Schizosaccharomyces pombe: one gene and its partners. The main gene of each other region encodes a partner of the protein of the gene in region 3 in a complex. Each region holds a gene or a part of one and is shown on either strand. Other genes may lie near its edges.

Region 1 (7,014 bases), on a different chromosome or scaffold from region 3:
GAGAATGAAAATCTCCTGCAGAAGCAACCCATCCTGAAGGCTGAGTAACCTCTTCACCCTTCATGACAGTAGGATGTAATGGGTATTCGTCTTCAATGAAAGATTCATAACTCATTAAGTAATCAGATGGTTTGGAAAAACTAGCCATAGCACGTGTTTCTTTATCTCTTTTCTTCTTTTGTTCATTACTCAGAGGAGATTGCAAAAAGGCATTCACCGGAGAAAAGACACGAAATCGATCTCCAGGAGATCTCGTAGGCCATGCGCGATCAAACACTTCACAAAAATCAGGTAATTGAATGGGGCCATTTTCATTTAGCAAATTCGGCAGCAAAAATGAGTGCTTGTTGCCGCGCACGGGTTGAAACCCAAATTGACTAGGCTCCAATCCAGGAACTAAAAGTATCACTGCTCTATGAATCATTTGTTTATTTCTCACTAGAACCCATGAAGGAGCCTGTCCATCAGCTAAACACCAGAATACAAGCTCTTGTAGGTCGCTAATTTTTAGGGGTTTTTGAAGATTGTTTTCCGTAGTTTGCAATCTAGGGTAATTTTCTTCATTTAGCGGTTGCTGAGATTTTTTTAACTTTTTCTTTTTCTTTTTTTTACTCTGAGAGTCGTCATTAGAGTCTGGTGAATCTTTCACTCCATCATTTGAACCATCCATACTTAGGTCTTCTTTTTTTCGCTTCACTTTCCTTTTTTCTCCGTGTGAAGCAACATTCTTTGACTTTTTTTCAATGGAGTCTTCTTGGGTTATCCCATCCTGAAGTTCACCCATGCTTGAGGATCCCATCTTTGACATTTTTTATTTTGGTGGTATCACTATGGTGGTCGGCTATTCCGCGGGCAATGCATCTTCAGATCCTCGGAATACTAATGTGCTTATGTTGATTGCGAGTTTTTATTTGAATTGCAGGCTTTAGCATTGTCTTGTATTATATCCATTAACTAAGGATTTCAAATTTCTTTTTAATCCAAAAAATGTCACAATGACTACATGTTTACTTTAAGTGCTCAATGAGGATATACAAGGAATATACTCAGAAGGTTCAATAAATATTTGAATAAACGTATTTTATATTATACAAAAAAATTGAAATTAAGCAGATTCCAACCTTTTTTTATATTTTTTTCATTGCCTTTTCTGTAAACTCTCATCAATTTTGTTAATAATATCAATGATAATTTCGGAAGCAGGCGATTCAGGACATTCATCAATAAAGCTTTTTCCAAAATCACATGAACGTGCAATCAATGGGTCCAAAGGAATTTTACCCAAGAATGGTAGTCCCATTTCTTTTGCTAACGCTTCACCTCCTCCTGTAGTAATAGTGAATATATTAGACTTGCCTTTGCAAGAAGGACATACAAAACCGCTCATGTTCTCCACTAATCCAAGGATAGGGATGGACGCCTTTCTGCAAAAATCTATTTCTTTACGGACGTCTTGAAGAGCAACCTCTTGAGGAGTAGTAACTACAACAGCACCATCAATTCCGGAATTTTTAAAAAATTGAACCAAAGATAAATGTTCATCGCTAGTTCCCGGAGGAGTATCAACAATCAAATAGTCTAAATTTTCCCAGTTAACGTCTTTGATGAATTGTTTGATCAGCCCGTTTTTTTTGGGCCCCCTCCATATAACAGATGAATCTTCGCTTGGTAATAAAAATCCAATTGACATAACAGCCAAGTTAGGGCATACATAAATAGGGGACCAGCCTTTGCTTGATTGATGGGCTTCCTCCTTTTCAACACCCATTATTCTCGGAATTGAAGGCCCGCAAATATCCACGTCCATTAACCCGATCTGCTTGTCTTCTTCAAGCGATAACCCCCATGCTAATTGCGAAGAGAATGTGGACTTTCCAACACCTCCTTTACCTGATAAAACAAGAATTTTGTGCTTGATTTCTTTCAAGCGTTCTACAACCAATGGTAAATCTGGATCTTCTCCACGAGGTGCTGAAGCGCAAATTTGTTGATTAGGGCATCCTTCACATGCTGATGCAGTTCCTGCATTTTCAGATGACGGTCCGGGGCAATGCTCTGGTGCATCTAAAGGAACAGTTTCTTGGATTTGCATAGAAAAGCCAATATTAAAGCAAATGCTTAGTAAAAGTCTTTATTTCACGTGCTTAGTGAACTTTTAGTAGCTATTTTTGTAAACCACGTATGGTAAATTATAAGTGTAATCCGGTGTAAATTCTCTTCAAACGAATTTTTGCTAAAAGCTTTACCTCTTGTTTTACCACAATATTCTGACTAAGCTTGAAACCGTTTTACGATCTCTTGGCTAGTGGCAATGAGCTATATCGGTTTTCTACTAATCGAGTTCTAATTTTTTTACCGTAATACCCTAAAGTGTGTTAAAAGCAATGTTCATGAAAAAAATCACGTTGGAAGCATCGAAAATCAGATATTTCCAAATGAATTAAACGGCACTTAATTTTCCTTCGCTTCATTTTTACTATTCCAACAAATACATTACTTTACACTTAGCTTCTAATTTACCGAGAAACAGTTCATAAGATTAAAAAATAAAGAAACCGAAAATATAAAACCGATTTAAAGATCTTAGATTTGCACATGTAATTGAGTATTATACATGTAACCTTTTTAATGAACTTTCTACATCCGTCCTTTTTAAGCAGTAGAAGAAGCTTCAAGGGAGGGTCCAGCAGCTTCTTCAAAAGTGTTGGGTGGAACAGAGTACAAGCGTAAAATAGGTCTGTTGGGATCCTTTACAAGGACATATTTTCCATCAGGCATTTTCAAACAGACATCTGCAATAGTACGAACAATACCCCAACCATTAGACAAACTTAAGTTCATTTGGGAAGCCAAATCAGCAGGCTTATAAGCTACAACACCCAAAATGCCGTGGTGCTGAGCGTCACGGGCATTTGAACGACTGACAAAACCAACCTTCATGCTATCAACACCAGCCAATAAAGCTTCGACAGTCCAACGGGCAAGCTTGCAACTATTGTTCTTCATTTCAGTGGCAAACACAGCACCTCTTTGACTTTCGAGCTTGGAACGCCAATCCACAGAACCAGTAACATTTGTAAATTTGGGATCGTACTCATTAAGAGCCTTGATAGAAATGTATTGAACATCGTTCGCAGGATTTTTAACATAACCGTCAACTTCGGTACGAACCATTAGCTTAACAGGCTTTTCGTCTGTCTCGAGAGAAAGATCAACATCCCGATAGATATAACCGTGAGCAGCCAATGGCTCACTTTCTTCCTTAGAATTATAGAAGGGATTGGGATGAGGTAATTTATATTTCTCTTCTTCGGTTTCACGTAAAGCTTGGACGCAGAAGTTTTGGTTAATGTACGTAGCTTCGACAGAAAGGGCTCCAGGAGAATTAACACCTTCGCGGTTGTCAGCGTCCATGGGAGAATCGTATGCGTTTTCATTGACAGTGAGATAATCAAAAGGTCCGCCTTCACGTTTGTCAAAGAATAGCTTTCCACTTTGGTGAGTAATTACAATATCCCAGGGATACACTGAGCGAGTTGAACACATCAATAAAGACAAAATGGAATCCGTAATGAAAATGTTAGCATCACTATTAAGAGCGAGTTTTTGGATAACGGGGTCTTCAGTAGTGGTAGGGTTGTAATGAACACGGTCCAAGGCTTGTAATGGTTTTTCTGATTTAACATGAATCTTGTCAAAAGATTTGTCATAAGGATAAATATAACCATATGAATCCACAGTAACAGGAGCAGCAGCAGCTAAATTGAGCTTAGATAAATGGCTGAACTCAACCTCGTCAAGAAGCTGCCAGTCGTCACCAACAGTAACACTGGCGTTGCGAAGACGTTGATGTTTATCATAATCCTTCCAACCAAACCGACGACCTCTTGCTCCTCCAGCGCCTGAGGATCTAGAAACCACTGTATCACCTGCACCTCTTCCACCAGAAGAACCGTAGCGACCGCCACGACCACCTCGTTGAACGTTTTGTCCTCTACCGCGAACCTTCAATAAAGTGCCGCCGTTGCGAGCGGAAGTGCGTGTACGATTGACAGAACCACGATCGATCACCGAGAAACTGGATTCGTCCTCCGAATGCTGATAACCAAAAATGGACGACGCGCCATAACCATAAGTTTGATATTGGTCACGGAAACGACCAGCAAATGCTCCTTGACGTCCACGTTGTTCACGTCCATCTTTAGGTTGATCAACAGACCAATCTGCAATTTTTCCAAGACGGTCACCTTTACTAAAAGGAGCATAAGGAATATCACCTCCTATCTGTTCCGTTTCAGGAGGTCCCCATGCTGATTTTACGGGTGCTAACTCAGGCAATTTAAATCCAGTTGCCATTTGGGAGTGGTGAAGTTTTCTTCGAAGTGGACGCCAGTATAGTGTGCAAACGAACTGGGAGACGCTAAAACACCAAAGCCAACAATGGTAATATTTGAAGTTCTAAAGCTTTATTTGTAATACAAAAGTACTTAAATGTAATATATATACTTTTTGGTTCGTGAAAAAGTTAAATGTTATACATTTCCTTTTGCAATCAAGGTGCTATATTTGTAGAAAAACTACATCTATTAACAATTAGTATATGTTACTGTATTTATCAAACTACTTCTTTATTTGTGAACCCACATGCCTATTCAGAAGACGATATGTGGAAATCTCAACCACTCACTACATTATAAAACTATAGTAGGTAGAATTACTTTATCATACTAGCAGGTTATATCAGCACTAAATGTTATTAAATTAAAAAATGGGAGAAATTGATATTGAAATAAAAGATATGTTATGCTATAATTTAAAACTGATTACGACATCAGACTTTGCCTTTATAGTCATTGTCTCAAGGCTTAAATGTTTCTGACAAAAGCATGTTTTAGAAAATTTTAATTTCGTCAACGCTGTCTTTTGAAGAAAGAAAAAAATGAACGCCAAGGTTCTCAGACATTCTCTCTTTTCTGTCATCACATGTCGCATAAAAAATATACACATCTAATCCTATTAAAACAATTGTTTGCGAAGAAATTAATGTATAAAAACGGAAAGCACCAAATATTAAGCAGTGTTAAATGACCGCAAAAGCTGCTAAGTAGCAAAGGAGAGAGTTTAGTGCATCACATGATAAAGGATCGCATTGACAGCCTAGCACACGCAAGGAAAAAGAATGATAAAGTATGAATTTAAAATATTAATAATAATGATGGAAATATGTGAGGTCTCTATTAAAGAAACGGAACTAACTTCCTCCAACCCCGTTTTCTTTGCGCTAATCCCTTATAATGATTTATTTCATCTAGGCAGTCCCTTCCATAATTACAGCCTGCCAAGTTTACCAAGAAGTCTCCTTCTTTTTGGTTATAAAAGAAACGAGGATTTTCACCTTCACCAGCACAAGCACCTGGAGGATATGAATTGAAAAGGCGAAGAGGAACGAATCCCATGCCGCTTCGAAGCCAAGCATTATTCTCGTAGAAGTACTCAATTGCATTTTGCTCATCGTGAGGCCAATCCATGTGCTTTTGCCCATAGACTACTGGATCCCAAAGGAAGTCCATCAATCTGCTAGTCCAATCACTTCGACGAACCAGAAAAGAACCCAAACTGAAACCGTTGCAATCTTGCCCTAAAATAAAGTTGATATCTTCACTATAGTCAACAAATGGAATTTCGTGGAAATTTTTTGGATTGAACTCCATGCTATCAGTAATATTCCTGGTCGCAATATGGTCAAGTCTGTTAATAATAAGCTTTTCAAGAGAATATTGAGGTTCCATGATGAATGTTGTTAAATCGACCCACCAAAACCATTCAGCATGAGGGTATTTCTTCATGGCTTCCATGATATAATCTGCTTTTTCCCAAGATTCACGCCATTCATGAGCATATCGTCTCTTTAAGCCTGTGCTCTTCACAAAGAAATGATATCCGTGCCTTTCAGCGTATTTCTTCTTGTTCTCCGTTGAAATCTTCTCCAGCTCCCATTGTCTGGGACTTTTTACATCTAAAACGCCACCTCCGATGTTATTGACAAATATCATAACAACATTACTCTCTTTGGGACGCGTCAAGAGTGTATGCTTTAAAAAGTAGCCTGAGCAGAGCAACAGTACCACAAAGACGAATAACCTATGTAGATGCGTCTTGGTAAAATACTTCCTTCTAGTATCACCTTCTTTGGAATCAAGTACATTGGAAGTGCCTGGCTTAGGGTAAGGAAAGGATTTAAACTTAGCTAATGCTTCTGACTTCTTTTTGGGGTTCCACATTTTTTAATATAATATAAGACTCGACGTTTACGTTAATTCTTCTTATTAACCTTTAAATTATATATTTTCGAATGATAATATGACTACGGCAATGCCGTTTGAGGTTTCACACAGAACTAGGCTGTTTGGCAAAGGCGAAAGTCGTGAGCAAGTAACGTCCCAGTGTATCAAAGCTGGCATAGCCTTGTCGTCGAGTAAATAGCCAAAGTACGCGATAACGTCGGTAAAGTTAAGTAGATTCTGATTGCATAATTTTATTTATTTGTTTACTCAAAAAGTTTTAGCACTTTTATTCTCGCGTTCATCTACTCAGATATGCTAAATAAATTAGCGATAGAAATTTTCCATAAAATATGTCAGTTGCAAAGACTCTGACAGATTTCTCATGGTTTGACGATGAAGGTATTTAGTTTAGTAAACAAATAATTATCAGCTACCAACTAATTTAACAATTCTGTTTTAGGAAAAGTGTAAACAACCATGAGAAGGAAACTTGGCAGCAACTCGAATTAAGGATTCGGCATGTAAAAAATTAGATATTGTTAAACAATCATTCTAATGTAACAATTGATAAAACATCACTGAAATTCTGTTAAATGAAACAATATTACTAATATTCGATTCAGCATTTAAGACATTTAATTAATCCTCGTTATTTGCCATCATGACAACACCGTGTTTCGTCGTATTTTCATACGCGCTATTATATATCGCTTGCAATGTTTATTCATTC
Region 2 (6,648 bases), on a different chromosome or scaffold from region 3:
GTGTCGCATCTGCCTGTTTCCGAAAAACACCCTGGGAACATCCCGATTTCATTAGTCAATAAGAGTGTTCAAGCCATTTGTTCTTTTGCCGAACATTACAATTTATTGCGAAATCCTTCGTATCGGGGCTTTCTGAGAATTAACAATGGAGAGTCTATTTTTAATTTACTTTGCATTGAAGATTTACACGAAAGTGTCAATCTTGATATTCTTTGTTTGAAAGATATATTACGGAACATTGCTCAAAGCTCTAAAGAAGCTATGTATATTGTAAAGCGACACAACTCATCACAGTCTTTTTATGGCAATAGATCGACCACCAATTTTTCAATCATAAACTCCGGTTTATATTTAAAAAAAGATGCTGCTAAAAATCTTTTGGCGAAGCAGTTTGATGCCACATATTCTTATTATCATAAAGACCTTGAGGAATCTGTTCATCAAAAACTCAATTCAAACTTAGAAAAAAGAGTTGAAAAATACATAAAACATTCTTGTTCCCAGAGAAATGTTGCTGATCACCCGGACTTTGCCTTGAAAGTTGTTGGTGCTGTCGTGGACTACGGATGGACATTTCCTAAGCCTAAATTTTCTGACATTTTAAGGGATTACTGGGGAAAAAAAGCAAATCTACCGACGGCTTTACTTGACACAAGCATCAATAGTAATTGGTGTAATTACGAAGATACTGTACAGGTTTCTGTGCGTTTAAATCGACCAATGTACGTGCGACATATTTCACTAATTTTTCCAATACATGGTGATGATTCTTATTTCCCGCGTGAAATCCAAATGTTTGGGCTTATCAATGATATCAATTATCAAATTTTAAGCAACATGAACAACTTGGTTTTGCTTGCCACGATTCCTGTTTCTTTGTCTTCGGTGTTCGAAGTAAATTATTACTATCTTCCAAAATTCTCGGACACACCTGGCCTTCTGGAAGAAGCTTATTTTAACACATTTGTGTTCAGGGCGTTTTCAAAAAATGAATCTTTGACGTCGCAAATTTGTTTATACCACATTGGTATACATGGTAAGGAGATTAATGAAGAATTTTAACGTCTTATTTAAATACGACTAAGTAGTCTAAGAGCCACTTTCATCTATTACTTTTGTATGGATATTTCTTGTCAATGAAAAAAATATATAAATTTAGCATATTAATTAATCTATGATGTATAGGAATATGCTTAGTTGGTGCTATGAAATAGTTTCAAAAATTTGCACGTCCTCGGGATTTTATTCACAAGGTAGTTTTAATTCACTGGAAAATTTAGGTCTTAAATAAACGAATAGTATACGCGTAATAGGATTCCCAACTATTAACCCGTATAGGGAAGCAGATACTGAATGTCGAATTGTAATTGGCGATACTATAATTCTCAAGTATACAGGAACACCTACACTTGGTTAAGATAAAATTTGAATAATGGCTTCAAAATATCAGTCTGTGCAGCCTGGTGGGTAAGTCAAGCATCTTTATGAAGTTACAAGGCTCTATAAATCATTTTCAGCTTTTTAGTATCTTAACTTTCATCTACACAGAATTGAAAAATTAGCAAAGCATACAAAATGAAAGCTAGCAAAGTTTTTTGATGTATCTCAAGGTAATTTTTAGGCTAATCTAAGCTTTAGATCATTAATTATTGCTTGGCGTGCACAAGGTAAAAAAGTATTAATTGTTGGAGGTGGCGTTGTGGCAGCTGGGCGTATATTGCATGTTTTGAATGCGGATGCCCATGTTATCGTTGTAAGTCCAAAAGCTGGTCTTTGTAAAGAAGTGGCTTGGAGAATACAGGAGAAGCAAGTTGAATGGCGAGACAGGGGATTTCTAGTCGAAGATTTGTCTGACGATGTAAACATGGTACTTACAGCCATAGATGATCCCAGCTTGTCTTCCGAAATTTATAAGTTATGCAAAAGCAAAAAAATCCCGGTCAATGCGGCGGATATTCCACCTGAATGTGATTTCTACTTTGGGTCTGAAATCCGTAACGGCCCTCTACAAATTATGGTTAGCACCAATGGTAAAGGTCCAAAACTTGCCAGTTTAATACGAAAAAAAATCGAAAGTTCAATCAATCCAGCTACTGGTATGGCATTGGAAAAAACTGGCCTTTTACGACAAAAATTACGAGACATTGTTCCCGAACCTGAAAACAGTCGCAAAAGAATGAGATGGATGATTGAGATTTGCGAACTGTGGTCTTTGGAGGAACTTGCCATGCTCGACGAAAATCTCATCAACCGACTTTTGGGATACTTCCCAAAAAAAACACCTAGTTATCGAGAAATAACGACTCCAGCCTACAGCAAGATAGACAACTACATATGGTTTGGAGCAATTATAATTTCTGGGGCTGTTCTCCTCAAACATGTTTCAAAAGCTCGTTAAAAGAAGCGTTTGATAAGTTAGTTGCTTTACGGAATATGACAATTACATTACTTTTCACTTTAAAACATTTGAATTTTGAATGGAATTTATTAAAAAACTCTTGTACTCATAGAAGGTTATTTTTCATATAATGCTCCCTAAACGAAAATGATACATCTTTGGAAAAAAGTTCCGTTGTCCATTACTATACTATCAACAGTTTTTTGAATAAAATTAACCTACAATGTATACTTGAAGTCAAAGTAGTTTTTATCGAAGAAGTGCACCCGAACATAACCATCTTCTCCACCACTAGCATAACCGGTTCCTTTGGGATGGACAGCTATTGTGTTGATAGGACCGAAATGACCCTTAACGCGGCCTAACTCTTCTTCTAAAATCGCATGATAAAAACGTGCTTCAAATTTACCCTGTCTAGCAGCAGTAGTAGTAACATCACGGGCTTCTTGACCACCTCCTAAAATAACGAAGTCTTGGACAGGAGTAAAACTAGAAGTATTAAGAGGCGTATCAGTAAGGTATGTTTTGATGACTTCAAAAGAATCAACATCAATAGCTTTAGCAGTCGTATCCTTGCAAGAAGTGATGAAGTAAGTACGATCAGGATAAAACTGAAGATCAGTAATAGTAGAACCAGAATTATGAACTTGTTTAGATTCAACGAATTCTCCGGTTATAGCATCGTATCTGGAAACGGAGCCATCTTCATGACCAGTAAAGAGAAACTTGCTCAAGTAAGACCATCCAGCGACCGTTGCTTTAGATTCACGAGTAGTAATAACGTAAAGGGGGGTTTCAGCAGCGGCATCGCTTTCCGAAATAGGAACACGGAAAACAGTGACGGTACCAGCATAACCCATACGTTCCTCGGTAACAGCAAGAATACGGGTATCATCTTCGTTGAACTCAACACGTTTGACAGCAGTAGGAAATTCCCACTTGTACAACTGCTTTCCTGTTTTAACATCCCAAAGACGCATGGTATTGTCAGCGGCTCCACTAACCATTAAAGTGCTACTTTCTGTTTCAGTTAGTAACCATTGGAAAAGGAACAGATGATCTAGTTGGATTTGAGGCATCAAGAAGAAGGAAAAGGATTTAAAAGAAGTTTAAATGCTTTCCACGAGGAAGTGAAGTGAGGTAAACGTAGCATTAATATAAGTAAAGGAGATGCACCATGCATATTTAACTTTAAGTACTACGCCAACTCAGAATCGTGGATCACGAGTATAACCATCTGCAATCGGACGACTAATAAAAAAAATACATTTATTAGAGTCATGATATGTTTCATTATTCGTGTTTCCTTATACTTCCATAATCCGTATACCTTTAGATGTCTTAATCCAACATACATCACCACCAATTTTCACGTACTATTAATATCACAAGTCCAAATTGCACCAGTATGACCCTCATATGTACCTAGGCGTTCACCATTGTGTGAAAACCAGACATTAATCACTTTATCCTTGGCACATGAGAATAATAAATCACCCTACACACAAAAATTAGTAAATTTTCCACATATAATGGACGGTTATTAAACCTACATCGTGATTATATTTTATTTGAGTCAAAGGACGCTCATGACCCTGTAAAATGATAGGCCTCATCTTTTGAACAGGAAAGTGCTGGTAGAGGGTTTGAGCGAAAAGTCTTTAGTTGTAATATTTTGATTCTAATTAGCGTAACTTAAGGATGGTATTAAAAATAAGGAGGCTTAACGACACTCTTAAATGAACTGGCTTCATTTCTGAGACACTTGCGTTAGACTAGTTAGACCCAAAGGTCGCACGTCTCACTTTGAAAACAGTATTTTGTGGTTTTGTTTGAATTTTGTCTGTCTTACTTATTTGTACAAAAAATAATATTTCTTTCGTGATTTTTAAAAAAAAATACAAAAGCGTTTGGTCTTAAACTAGCGTCTCTTTGTTCCATTCGTTTACGATTGAAAGTATATTTCCTTAGCTAAAAATCCTTTTCTAGCGTGCTTGGTAATTATACTTATAAAACATATCTAGAACCGGATAACCTGAGTGTTTTATAGAAGCGTCAAAAACATCTAATCGTTTTTTGAAAATAATTGTTTATCAAGATAATTATTTCTCTTTGATATTTAGCGTGCATTTATAAAGGAAAAGAAAAGAATTGACAAAATATCTTGACAATATGGGTAATTTATCAGGCTGGTTTATTCACTGTCCTCCATTACAATGGACACTTGATCAATTAGAAACGATGATGATAAATACAATTAAACGTGGCAAAGTACCACAACACATAGCCTTTGTAATGGATGGCAATCGACGGTGGGCTCGTCAAAGAAGGATGGAAACTATCGAGGGTCATAGCTCAGGTTTTGAAGCTTTAAAATCTGTAAGTTTAAAGAACATTAATAGAAGGTTAAACGTACCGTTTCTCCATGTTTTGCGCATTGGTATCCGTCTACGTTCTGCACAATTTGGTACATTAACTAACCCTGCGTAAGCTATTAAAAGTGTGTCTGAAGTTAGGAGTTAAAGAAGTATCGGCTTTCACATTCTCCATTGAAAATTTTAAGCGATCTAAATATGAAGTTGATATGTTAATGGAGATTGCAAAAAACAGCTTAACGCAAATTACTGCTCATGGTGATTTGGTTGATCAGTATGGGATCCGTATTCGCATTGTTGGCGATCTTAGCAGGTTGCAACCTGACGTTTTAGAAACTGCTCTAAAGGCTGTGGAAATTACAAAACATAACACAAAGTATGTGAAATTTTTCAAATTTTTATTTTGCTAATTGACATCTTAGGGCAACATTAAATGTTTGCTTTCCATACACTTCTCGACATGAAATTGCTACTTCTGTGCAATCAATAGTAAAAATGGCAGAAGATGGTACAATCACTCCAGAAGATATAGATGAAGATATATTTGAAAAAAACCTATTGATAAAAGATAGTCTTCCTTTAGACTTGTTGATTCGCACTAGCGGTGTGGAGCGTCTATCTGATTTTATGTTATGGCAGGTAAGTAAAAATTCTCCTAATTTTCTAGTCAAAGATATTCAACTAATTTTATCAGTGTCACAAAAATACGGAGATAAAATTCATCGATTTCTACTGGCCGGATTTTTCTATCTGGAAGTTTTTCCCAATGTTAATTCAATACCAGTTACAAAACCAACCAGCATAATTTATTCAATCCTTCGTTACTTATTTACTTTTGATAGGCTTTGGCTGTTAATTTTACATTGTATACATTTAATATGTGTTAGTAGCTGATGTAAATAGTTAGACACTACTCTAATTATGTCTTCTTAAATATTGTTAAAATGAAACTTTCTACGGTCTTGATCCGGAAAAATTAATAACTTCCAAATATGCTTGATCATCACGCTGCACTGCAGCCACACAACGCATAGCATCAAAATCGACATGCCATATTTTTGTGAGGTCTGTTAATAGAAAACGTAACAGCTTTCCAGTCCTAACATCCCATAACTTTACAGAACCATCATTACCACTAATAATTTTGTGTTCATCTGACACAAAGCTACTAATGTAGCCTGAATTAGACGGCAAAACCATTAATGGTTTCCCAGTATTCAAATCCCATATTCTAATTGTGGAGTCAGCAGAACCTGATATCAACCTATTCTGGAATACATTAAGAAGCGTAACAAAGGCATCATGGCCTTCAAGCACATATTTACAAGTCCCTGTCGATAAATCCCAAACCCTAATGGACTTATCCATGCTACCGCTTATGCAAATATTCCTTTCTGGTTCATATAAAACACTATATATACGAAGACTATGACCCCGCAGATGGTAAAGACATTCCCCTGTTGAAACTCTCCAAATGCGAATTGAAGAATCATAACTCCCACTCACAAGTATATCACCATAGCCGGATATAGTTCGTACAGAGTCTGTATGTCCTATCAAAGTATGTACAAAATACGGGTTCTTCTCCCAACGGTCAATAGAGTTTGTATTATCTGGAAGATAAGGAGGATCCGTGTTTTTTGGAAGCTTCCAAACCCGAAGTGTATGATCCCGAGAGCCGCTGACAATGTACGGTTGATCTGGTTCAACAATTTCAACTCCATGGCGAATAAGACGACTCGGAACTAAGATCTCTAAGCATCTGATGATGGAAATATGTCCCCTAAATATGTGCGTACATTTAGCTTTCTCTATGTTCCAAACGCGAACAGTTTTATCGATCGAACCAGATACAAGTGTATTCTCATGTATTTT
Region 3 (8,932 bases):
TTGAGATTCCCTCTTTCATCAAGACTCAAACTTTCAAAGTATATTTTTGCCTTAATAAATAGTTTTTTCACTTCTCCTTCTGTTTTTTGTGCAAACTGAACCATGGCAGTTAATTGTTCCATATCATCAATACACTGTATTACACCATCAACATCCCAAATAGGCTCAAGTTTCTTTTCTAGAGAGCTAATACTGCCGATCTGATAACTGAATACTTGTCTTTTTAATTCAACCCACCCAATCCATCCATTATCGAGCGGCATATTGAAAAGACCATCGACATCGAGATCTATAATTTTAACAAGGGTATCCTGTAATAACCGTTGAGCAGGAAAATAGTTTAAATTCAAAAATTTTTTTCTTAAGTTTGATAATTGACATTTTAATAATTGCCGTTTAGCAGTAGATTCTACAAGAGTAAGCAATGATTGATATTGATCTTGTAGAGCCTTCGCTACTTCTAAAGACCTAACGCGATCTTTAGAAGCCCTCACCGGGAGATTTTCAAGACTATCCATAAGGAGTTGCGATTTAAGCAATGGCGCATCCTTTCGGGATCGGCGTTTCATGTGATAAAATTTGCAGATGTCAGTTACTATGGAGGGCAGATCTTGCCTTTTAACATTATAAGACAATAAAACTTTGGTAACTTTATCAACAATAAAAGCCGGTAATGGATGCGATTTCCATGGCCCTTCGGGCACAAAATCAGGCGCTTTAGTAGCTTGGAAGTTGAGTGGAACGTCTGTAGCCATGCGTTTGTAATATAATTCAGCTAACGGAAACAAGCGCTTCATCAATCCGTTTAAATAATCGGGTGGAGTATGTTTATCACAATAAGTTTCCATATCAACACTATCATAACTTGCAGAATGTGAGTATATTTTGTAAAAAAAACCTGCACGTCGAGCACAAGTTATATGGTAAGCTGCATAACAATTTTTATCTGAGCATTGCACACAAGTACCCCATCGAAGTTTACAAATGCAACACACCAATTTCCAGCGAGACTTTGGGATTGAAGCAATGTTTCGAACCAAGTCTAATCTACTAGTGTCGTGAAAAGATATTTCAGGGATTGCTATGGCGCAAATTGTGTGGCACCAACGTCCATCCAAGGTTGTGCAAAACGCACCATCTCTGTCAGGACAAAAAGCACAGCATATAACTTCATGAGGGGCTAGTAAACATTTCTTACAAAACCATTGACCCTCTGGAACAAAAGGGATTCCATAACAATTCTGGTGAACAGAAGTGTTACAGTTATCGCAAAAAACTATAGCATTACTGTTTTCGCATTCTGCTTCATTACAAATAACACAACGACCATCTAGTTCATCCTCCACTCTGACGGGTTCAATCTTAGGCATCCAAGCCTCTAGATAAAGCCATTCGCGTTCAATAATGGTAAGAACTATTTCTAAAAATTCTTTAGAAACATTTTCCCACTCTGAATTAGATGAAAGTTGAAACTCATTATAATATGTTAACCACATTGTGTCTAACTCATCCAAGTCGTAGGATACAGGAAAGGACGTTTTTGAGTAAGGATGTATAGCAACGAACTTGAAATATTCGTCTGGACTCCAATCTAATTGTTTCGCAGTTTTATATCCAAATTTTTTCTCTTGTGGATTAATATTTTCCGTTTGAACACCTACTGGCTTTACGTTTTCGATCTTGGCATTGAGCAAAGCTTTAAGCACATAAGAATTCTCGGATTTATAGGTTACTAAAGAATCACGAAGGCCTGCATATTGTGTATGGTCACCTTCTAATATTTCCAAAGGTTCGTCTATTTGTAGGTCTGGATGGAAAGATTTATAGGGAATCTCTTCTCTCGGCTGAAAAGCAAGTTCATCGGGTCTTAGAATATTTCGACCAGTAGAAGTAAGTCGGAAGGTTTGCATGAAAGCCTTTTACAAGATAGATTTACCATACTATCTTTTTTACATTTCTTTCATGGTGTAACTATATTTACGAGAAAAAGGTGCAATTTTGCTTAAACTTCAATAGTGCATTCTGCCGCTGATGATTAAGCAGAATAAGCGGGGGTAACGTGAATGACCGAAATAAAAAGATGATTGTAAACAGTTGAACTCTGAAATGAAAATAGTTTGGACATAGGAAGGGGTAAATTTATTCTTCCCGTTCTTTCTCTTTTTATATTTATTGGTGTTGTTTTCAAAGAAAACCAGAGGAAATTGGAAAGCGTGATTTTGCATTTTACGGAAATGTAAGAGTTACAATTATATACAGTTGATGTGAAAGTACAAAGATTTTCGAGATGCTTGATAAAAAGCCCTTTCAAGAATCTTTGTGAATAGTTTATAAGCTAATATTTTTGTACCCGCCATCAACGAATACTTCACTTAGTTTATTCTTCTAGAAGTCTAACATTTACACCAATCACAATTAAATTGCTTCATCAAAATGGGCCTCTAGAGTTTACCTAGCGTCGAAGAGATTGAGGACTTAGCGTTTTTTAACAAAAAAATCTTTCGGAATACATAGGGTTATGACCTCTTTATTATAATACTTTGACAAACTATATTCGCTAAATCTTTCTTCCTTTATTCAAGCTTTGAGTAAAAGTAATGCGAGTTTCTGCTACTTTTCAAGGATAACACTTTAAATTTTAGATTGGCTCGGAAAATATTTCGCTCAAACCACACTTCTTTCACTGGTAAGGTCTCAACGTTTATATAAGTTTGTTGCCAATTGTAAATAAGAGTTTAGACAATGCTACAAGTATAAAACAATGCATAAGCCCTGATGAGGAACTCAAGCGAGTATCGACTCAACGGCAATAAAGATTATTTTAAGAACTAACTAGTTTTATCACCAAATACATCAAACAAAGAATGGACTTGGTGATTAGCGTAGAAACAGATCTACGGCTAAAATTCCAAAACTATAACGGTACTAATATTTCTTGGATGTACATTGTGTAACGATAGTAATTAGTAGCGGCAACAGAAAAATCTGACTACTATCCCATAAACGTTCAAATAAAAGCAAAAATAGAGCTTTCCTCTGTTCTAAACTGAACTGGTATTTTTTAAACAAACATGATAGATTAACGAGTATGTTAGCACTTCACACTAGGCGATCTATTCAAATTTAGTCATATTATCGTATTCGGTAAACCACTAATTTCTTTGCACAAAAAGTGATGCTTATTCAAGTCAAACCTAAGAAAGATATGAACAACTAACTATATATATATGCATGTGCTAACATTTTTTTTTGCAAAATCAAGAATTAAGTACCTCTTGTTTAGTGGCTTATATAAAACTGCGAGGTAGCTCGCTATTCGTGTAATAAAATTTTACTACGACAAGGGGGAAGTTTTCAACTGCACAACATGGCACCTCCTCAAGGAAAGCCCGAAAATGTGCTAAGGGTATGTATTATGAGTTTTTTACTTACTTTGACTAACATAAATTAGCTTGCCGATGAGCTGATAGCTCTAGATCAGCACAGCTCAGCACTGCAATCTCTTCATGAGACTATAGTTTTGAAAAGATCAAGAAACGCGCAGGGGTTTTCTCTCGAGCCTATTATGATGCGTTTCATCGAACTTTGTGTTCATTTACGCAAAGGAAAAATTGCAAAGGAAGGCTTGTACACCTACAAGAACGCAGTTCAAAACACCTCAGTTACCGCTATTGAGAATGTAGTCAAGCATTTTATTGAACTTGCTAATAAAAGAGTTCAAGAAGCTCAGGAGAAGGCAGACAAGATATCAGTTGAATATGTTGACGATCTTGAGGCTACTGAAACTCCCGAGAGCATCATGATGTCTTTGGTTTCGGGAGACCTTTCCAAGAGCCGCACAGACCGTGCTTTGGTCACTCCATGGTTGAAATTTTTGTGGGATGCTTATCGTACAGTTCTTGATATTTTGCGTAATAATGCTCGTTTAGAAGTAATGTATCAGTTAATTGCTAACTCTGCATTCCAATTTTGCCTCAAGTATCAGCGTAAAACCGAATTTCGCCGTCTATGTGAACTCCTTCGGTCCCATCTTGGCAATGCTTCTAAATTTTCAAACGCTCCACACTCTATTAACTTGAATGATGCTGAAACTATGCAGCGTCATCTGGACATGCGTTTCTCTCAGCTAAACGTTGCTGTTGAGCTTGAACTCTGGCAGGAAGCTTTCCGATCCATTGAAGACATTCACAGCTTGCTTACGTTCTCTAAGAGGGCTCCTGCTGCAGTCATGCTTGGCAATTATTACCGTAAATTGATTAAAATCTTTTTGGTTTGTGATAATTATTTGCTTCATGCTGCAGCTTGGAATAGGTACTTCACATTTACAAATGTGCAAAAACCCGCTACTGCTAATTTTGTAATTTTAAGCGCTCTCTCTATCCCTATTATTGATGCCAACAAATTATCGGGCCCTTCCATTGAGGCAGAAGATGCCAAGAGCAAGAATGCTCGTTTGGCTCTTTTGTTAAACTTATCGAAAACACCTACGCGTGAAACATTAATTAAGGATGCCATTTCTCGTGGCGTTCTTTCTTTCTGTGATCAGGCTATCCGTGATTTGTACCAGATTTTGGAAGTTGAGTTTCATCCATTGAGCATTTGCAAAAAACTTCAGCCTATCATCAAAAGATTGGCAGAAAGTAATGATACTGCTCAATACATTCGTCCTTTACAACAGGTTATTCTTACTCGTCTTTTCCAACAACTGTCTCAAGTTTATGATTCCATTTCATTGAAATATGTTATGGACCTTGCTACATTCGAGGAGCCTTACGATTTTAACCCTGGTCAAATTGAGAAATTCATTATGAATGGTAACAAGAAAGGTGCATTTTCTATTCGTTTGAACCATATTGAAAATTCCATTAGCTTTTCTTCTGACTTGTTTTCTAATCCCATTAAGTCTTCGGATTCTGTTTCTCTTCAATCTACTCCATCTGAATTAATTACATCTCAACTTACGCGGATTGCCAAATCCCTTTCTAGTGTTTTGATGCGTTTTGATACCGATTTCTGCCTTTTACGCAAGCAACAAGCCGAGGCTGCCTACGAAAGGGCTCAGGCTGGTGTTGAACAGGAGCGTAAAGCGGTCATTGCTCAGCGTAGTCTTCTCGAATTACGTCGTGGACAGGCTGATACACTTGCTACTCAACGTGAAGCTGAGCTTGCTGCTCAACGCGCTCTCAAACAAAAGCAAGAATCTGAAGCCGAGTCTCTCCGCGTTCAAGAAGAAATTAATAAACGTAATGCTGAAAGGATTCGTCGTGAGAAGGAAGCTATTCGCATTAACGAAGCTAAAAAGTTGGCCGAGGAGCTCAAAGCTAAGGGTGGATTGGAAGTCAATGCCGAAGACTTGGAGCATTTGGATGCTGATAAATTGAGAGCTATGCAAATCGAACAAGTCGAAAAGCAAAATAAGAGTATGAACGAACGTTTGCGTGTTATTGGAAAGCGTATCGACCATTTGGAACGTGCTTATCGTCGTGAAGCTATCCCATTGTGGGAAGAAGACGCAAAACAACAAGCCGAACATGACCGCGAAATCTTTTACGAGAGGGAGAAACAACGCAAGGAAGTACAAGAGCGTAAGCATGAACAAGCCATTAAAGACAAAAAGGCTTTTGCTCAATTTGCTTCCTATATTCATGCCTATAAGCAAAATATTGACGATGAACGTGATAAAGCATATCAGGAGGCATACGCCAAAGCTAAAAATGTCATTGATGCAGAGCGCGAAAGGCAACGTAAAGAAATTTTCGAACAAAAATTGGCTGAGGCTATTCGCGAAGCTGAAGAGGAGGCTGCTCGTGCTGCTGAGGAAGAGGCAAACCGTGAGCTTCATGAGCAAGAAGAAGCTCAAAAACGTGCTATCGAGGAAAGAACTCGTGCAGCTAGAGAAGCTAAAGAACGCGAACAGCGCGAAATGGCTGAGAAATTGGAACGCCAAAGACGTATTCAGCAAGAGCGTGATGAAGAAATATCTCGTAAGCTTGCCGAGAAAGCAGCTGCTAGAAGAGCAAATATTGGCGCATCTTCACCTAGTCCTGGTGCTTGGAGGCGCGGCGGTGCTAGTGCTGGCGGTGTTTCACGAGACTCTCCAAGGTATTCTCGTGGTGGCTACTCTCGTGGTTCTGTTCCTCCTCGTGAGACCCTTGCTCCTTCTAAGGGAGCATATGTTCCACCAAGCAGACGTAATCAACAACAACAGTAGTAAACCTACTGTCTATAAGAAAATAAACCTGTCGACAATTAATTATTGTCGCAATTGGATATTGGAGTCAAGTCTTTACGATGCATTATCTAATGTCACAGCTGATAAATTTAAATGAACTAATGTGTTCTCCTATTGAAAGTTGTAAGTTCCTTTTTCTTACAAGGGTAGTTGGTTACTTTCATGCTATTGGAATTCATGAAAGCGGTTATGTGTATAAAAAGAGCCTTTTGTAGCTCTATTTAATAGATAATTATCGTTAACCTTTGAACTTTTTTTAATTTGTATAATACTGCTTAAAGCTTGACTTGTTAATTGTAAATGTAGAACGATACTAATCGAATAAAGATGTTACATGTCAAGTTTATAAGCGACGATGAGTTTTTACAGTTGACGTTTCTGTAGTATGCATTTCTCATTTCAATAATTCTGAATACAACGAGTGAAGAAATAATTCATTAATTATTAGCAACGTGTTTTGTATTAGTACCAAAAAGGTTAAGCAGCTTAAAATATTTGTTTAAAGACACTCAAAGTAAAAAGGTTTCTTGGTGAGAGGCACGACAATTTGTTACCGCAAATAGACTCTTCGCTAACCACCATGTTCAGAACGACCAAAAGTCGAGTAGTTGAAAAGAATCAAAATTTTTCTAGTGCTAGTTTTGAGAGTTTAAGTTATCCTACGCGACTTAATTTTTATAAGAAACCTCCTGTCTCTGAAATAAGCATTGAAGAGTTTGAAACATGGGCAATAGACCGATTAGTTGGTATGCTTTCCATTTTCTTTATTATTTTCTATTCTTTTGGAGTAAGCTAACTATTTAGTTTTGGGTGAAATTGAGTCAGCAATGCTCCGCAATAAGACGAAAAATGAATTGAACGGGATTATAAAAAAGATACTGGATAAACGTCTGCCGATGAGTAGCAACATGGCTAGGACTGTAAAAGGAAACTCCTTAGATGAAGAAAGAAGGAAAGATCATTATTCTCATTTCATTCTGCGCCTGGCTTTCAGCAGATCGTAAGTAAAAATGTGCTATATTTGAGTGCTGTCTGTCGAAAAATATCTCATTTAGACTTATAAATGCGTTCGCGTTATGGCATAAGTAGTAAATTGAACATAAAGTGGGTATCAATTTGCTGCTTCAGTTAAACAGAAAGCATTATATATATGAATACATTTAAACTTGCTTTTATTCTTTTCCTAACGCATTCATTAGTGATGAATTACGAATCAGGTTTTTAAGAGCTGAATCCACGTTATTTCGGTTTCGATTTGTGAATGAGGAAACCCGAGAACGTCAAGCGTTTATAGATAGTCTTGATTTTCAATGGGAATCTGTTTCACAAGAAGAAAAAGACGTTTTTTATGAAAAGCTACAGGCTTCTTCTCAAAGAAATATAGAAAACGAATCTTTCTTCAAAGTACCTTTTTTTAAAGTTCCGGATTTAGTAGAACGAAGGGCTGTTTTCGTTCACAAGGGATACGCTTACGTACCATTTTCGGAACAAGTAAGTCTAGTTGTTGAAGAGTTTGAAGAAAACTTAAAAAAAGCGCTTGAGTCTACCGCAAAATCTCTTCCTAGGCTTGATGAAGACGATCGTCTTTTGCCAATTCTCAACCATTTGAGTAAAGGATTCGTTGCTCCCGAGAGTTCAATAGTTGCTCCTAAATCTGGTGCTATTACTGCTGGACAAGTAGACAGTTTTGTTTCACATTTTCCATTATGCGCCAAACATTTACATGAAGTACTTAAGCGTGATAAGCATCTACGGCATTTTGGCCGTCTTCAATATGGGCTATTTTTAAAAGTATGAAACTTATTTTTTATGTAGTAATTTACTAATTTTTCAGGATATTGGCCTTTCTGTCGACGAAGCTTTGGTCTTTTGGAGGAAAAGTTTTACAAATGTAACAGAAGACAAATTTAACAAAGAATATCGCTACAATATTAGACATACTTATGGACTTGAAGGAAATAGGAAAAATTACAAGGGTTATAATTGCCAGCAGATCCTTACAGGGCCTCAACTTGGTCCTGGAGATGCCCACGGTTGTCCTTATCGTACATATTCAGTAAATAATCTAGTGTCAGCATTGGCTTCCATGGGAATAGCACCGGATTCTGCCGGATGCCGTGAAGTTGTTGAGGCAGTTAAAGCGAGGCATTATCATATTGCGTGTACGCGTGTTTTTGAGCTTACTCATCCAAATGTCGGTTCGCTGGAGGAGAGCATTCACCATCCCTTACAATATTTTCAACTTAGTTTAGAATCATAAGCTAAGATACTTTTAGTTCACGATTATCATAACACATTTCAATTTTTGTACAATAGGTATTGAACACTTTCAAAATACATTTCATAGCTATAATTCAAAAATCTAATTACCGGCAGGCTGGTTATATAGATGAATAAGCATTGTTACTAATAAAAGGCAATAATACCAAATCAACGTAAAAAACATGATATTTAATTTAAAAAACGTAATTGAAAACTTTTTAAATTTATCATCAAAATGAAATTGTCTAGCAATCTTCCGAACACTCAGTTCCGTAGAATAAATACGTTAACTTCAAACTACAAGTCTATTAACATATGAAAACGTTTGTATTTAATCTGAAGAGATGCAAGTAACAATCAAGATGTTCTTACAAACGTATATGGTTTTTTGAGACTAGCAGGATGTACTTCTGGGAATCTAATCATCATCATCAAATG

The links. The genes of interacting proteins can lie anywhere in the genome.
Region 1: tif301 (region 3) and moe1 share a complex: the UniProt entries of both Schizosaccharomyces pombe proteins name them as parts of the eukaryotic translation initiation factor 3 (eIF-3) complex.
Region 2: tif301 (region 3) and sum1 share a complex: the UniProt entries of both Schizosaccharomyces pombe proteins name them as parts of the eukaryotic translation initiation factor 3 (eIF-3) complex.

What each region holds. Positions count from the first base shown.
Region 1 is NC_003424.3:4,549,193-4,556,206, reverse strand, and holds moe1 (translation initiation factor eIF3d), read right to left. Parts: upstream 4,368-7,014; 5' UTR 4,357-4,367; coding exon 2,653-4,356; 3' UTR 2,466-2,652; downstream 1-2,465. Other genes in the region: rex1 (putative ribonuclease H70), read right to left, coding at 1-784; Fe-sulfur cluster assembly ATPase Nbp35, read right to left, coding at 1,139-2,092; gmh5 (alpha-1,2-galactosyltransferase), read right to left, coding at 5,238-6,281. UniProt on the Schizosaccharomyces pombe protein: mRNA cap-binding component of the eukaryotic translation initiation factor 3 (eIF-3) complex, which is involved in protein synthesis of a specialized repertoire of mRNAs and, together with other initiation factors, stimulates binding of mRNA and methionyl-tRNAi to the 40S ribosome.
Region 2 is NC_003424.3:5,356,322-5,362,969, reverse strand, and holds sum1 (translation initiation factor eIF3i), read right to left. Parts: upstream 4,047-6,648; 5' UTR 4,015-4,046; coding exon 3,952-4,014; exon of another isoform or gene 3,897-3,951; coding exon 3,776-3,896; exon of another isoform or gene 3,420-3,775; coding exon 2,617-3,419; 3' UTR 2,466-2,616; downstream 1-2,465. Other genes in the region: protein Csi2, read left to right, coding at 1-1,062; met8 (siroheme synthase), read left to right, coding at 1,433-1,467, 1,639-2,398; rer2 (cis-prenyltransferase), read left to right, coding at 4,571-4,777, 4,890-5,149, 5,196-5,412, 5,468-5,578; F-box/WD repeat protein Pop2, read right to left, coding at 5,728-6,648. UniProt on the Schizosaccharomyces pombe protein: Component of the eukaryotic translation initiation factor 3 (eIF-3) complex, which is involved in protein synthesis of a specialized repertoire of mRNAs and, together with other initiation factors, stimulates binding of mRNA and methionyl-tRNAi to the 40S ribosome.
Region 3 is NC_003423.3:3,310,971-3,319,902, forward strand, and holds tif301 (translation initiation factor eIF3a), read left to right. Parts: upstream 1-3,360; 5' UTR 3,361-3,367; coding exon 3,368-3,406; intron 3,407-3,451; coding exon 3,452-6,211; 3' UTR 6,212-6,482; downstream 6,483-8,932. Other genes in the region: histone acetyltransferase complex subunit Nto1, read right to left, coding at 1-1,910; DNA primase large subunit Spp2, read left to right, coding at 6,813-6,978, 7,037-7,232, 7,432-8,023, 8,067-8,492; proteasome regulatory subunit Rpn2, read right to left, coding at 8,913-8,932. UniProt on the Schizosaccharomyces pombe protein: RNA-binding component of the eukaryotic translation initiation factor 3 (eIF-3) complex, which is involved in protein synthesis of a specialized repertoire of mRNAs and, together with other initiation factors, stimulates binding of mRNA and methionyl-tRNAi to the 40S ribosome.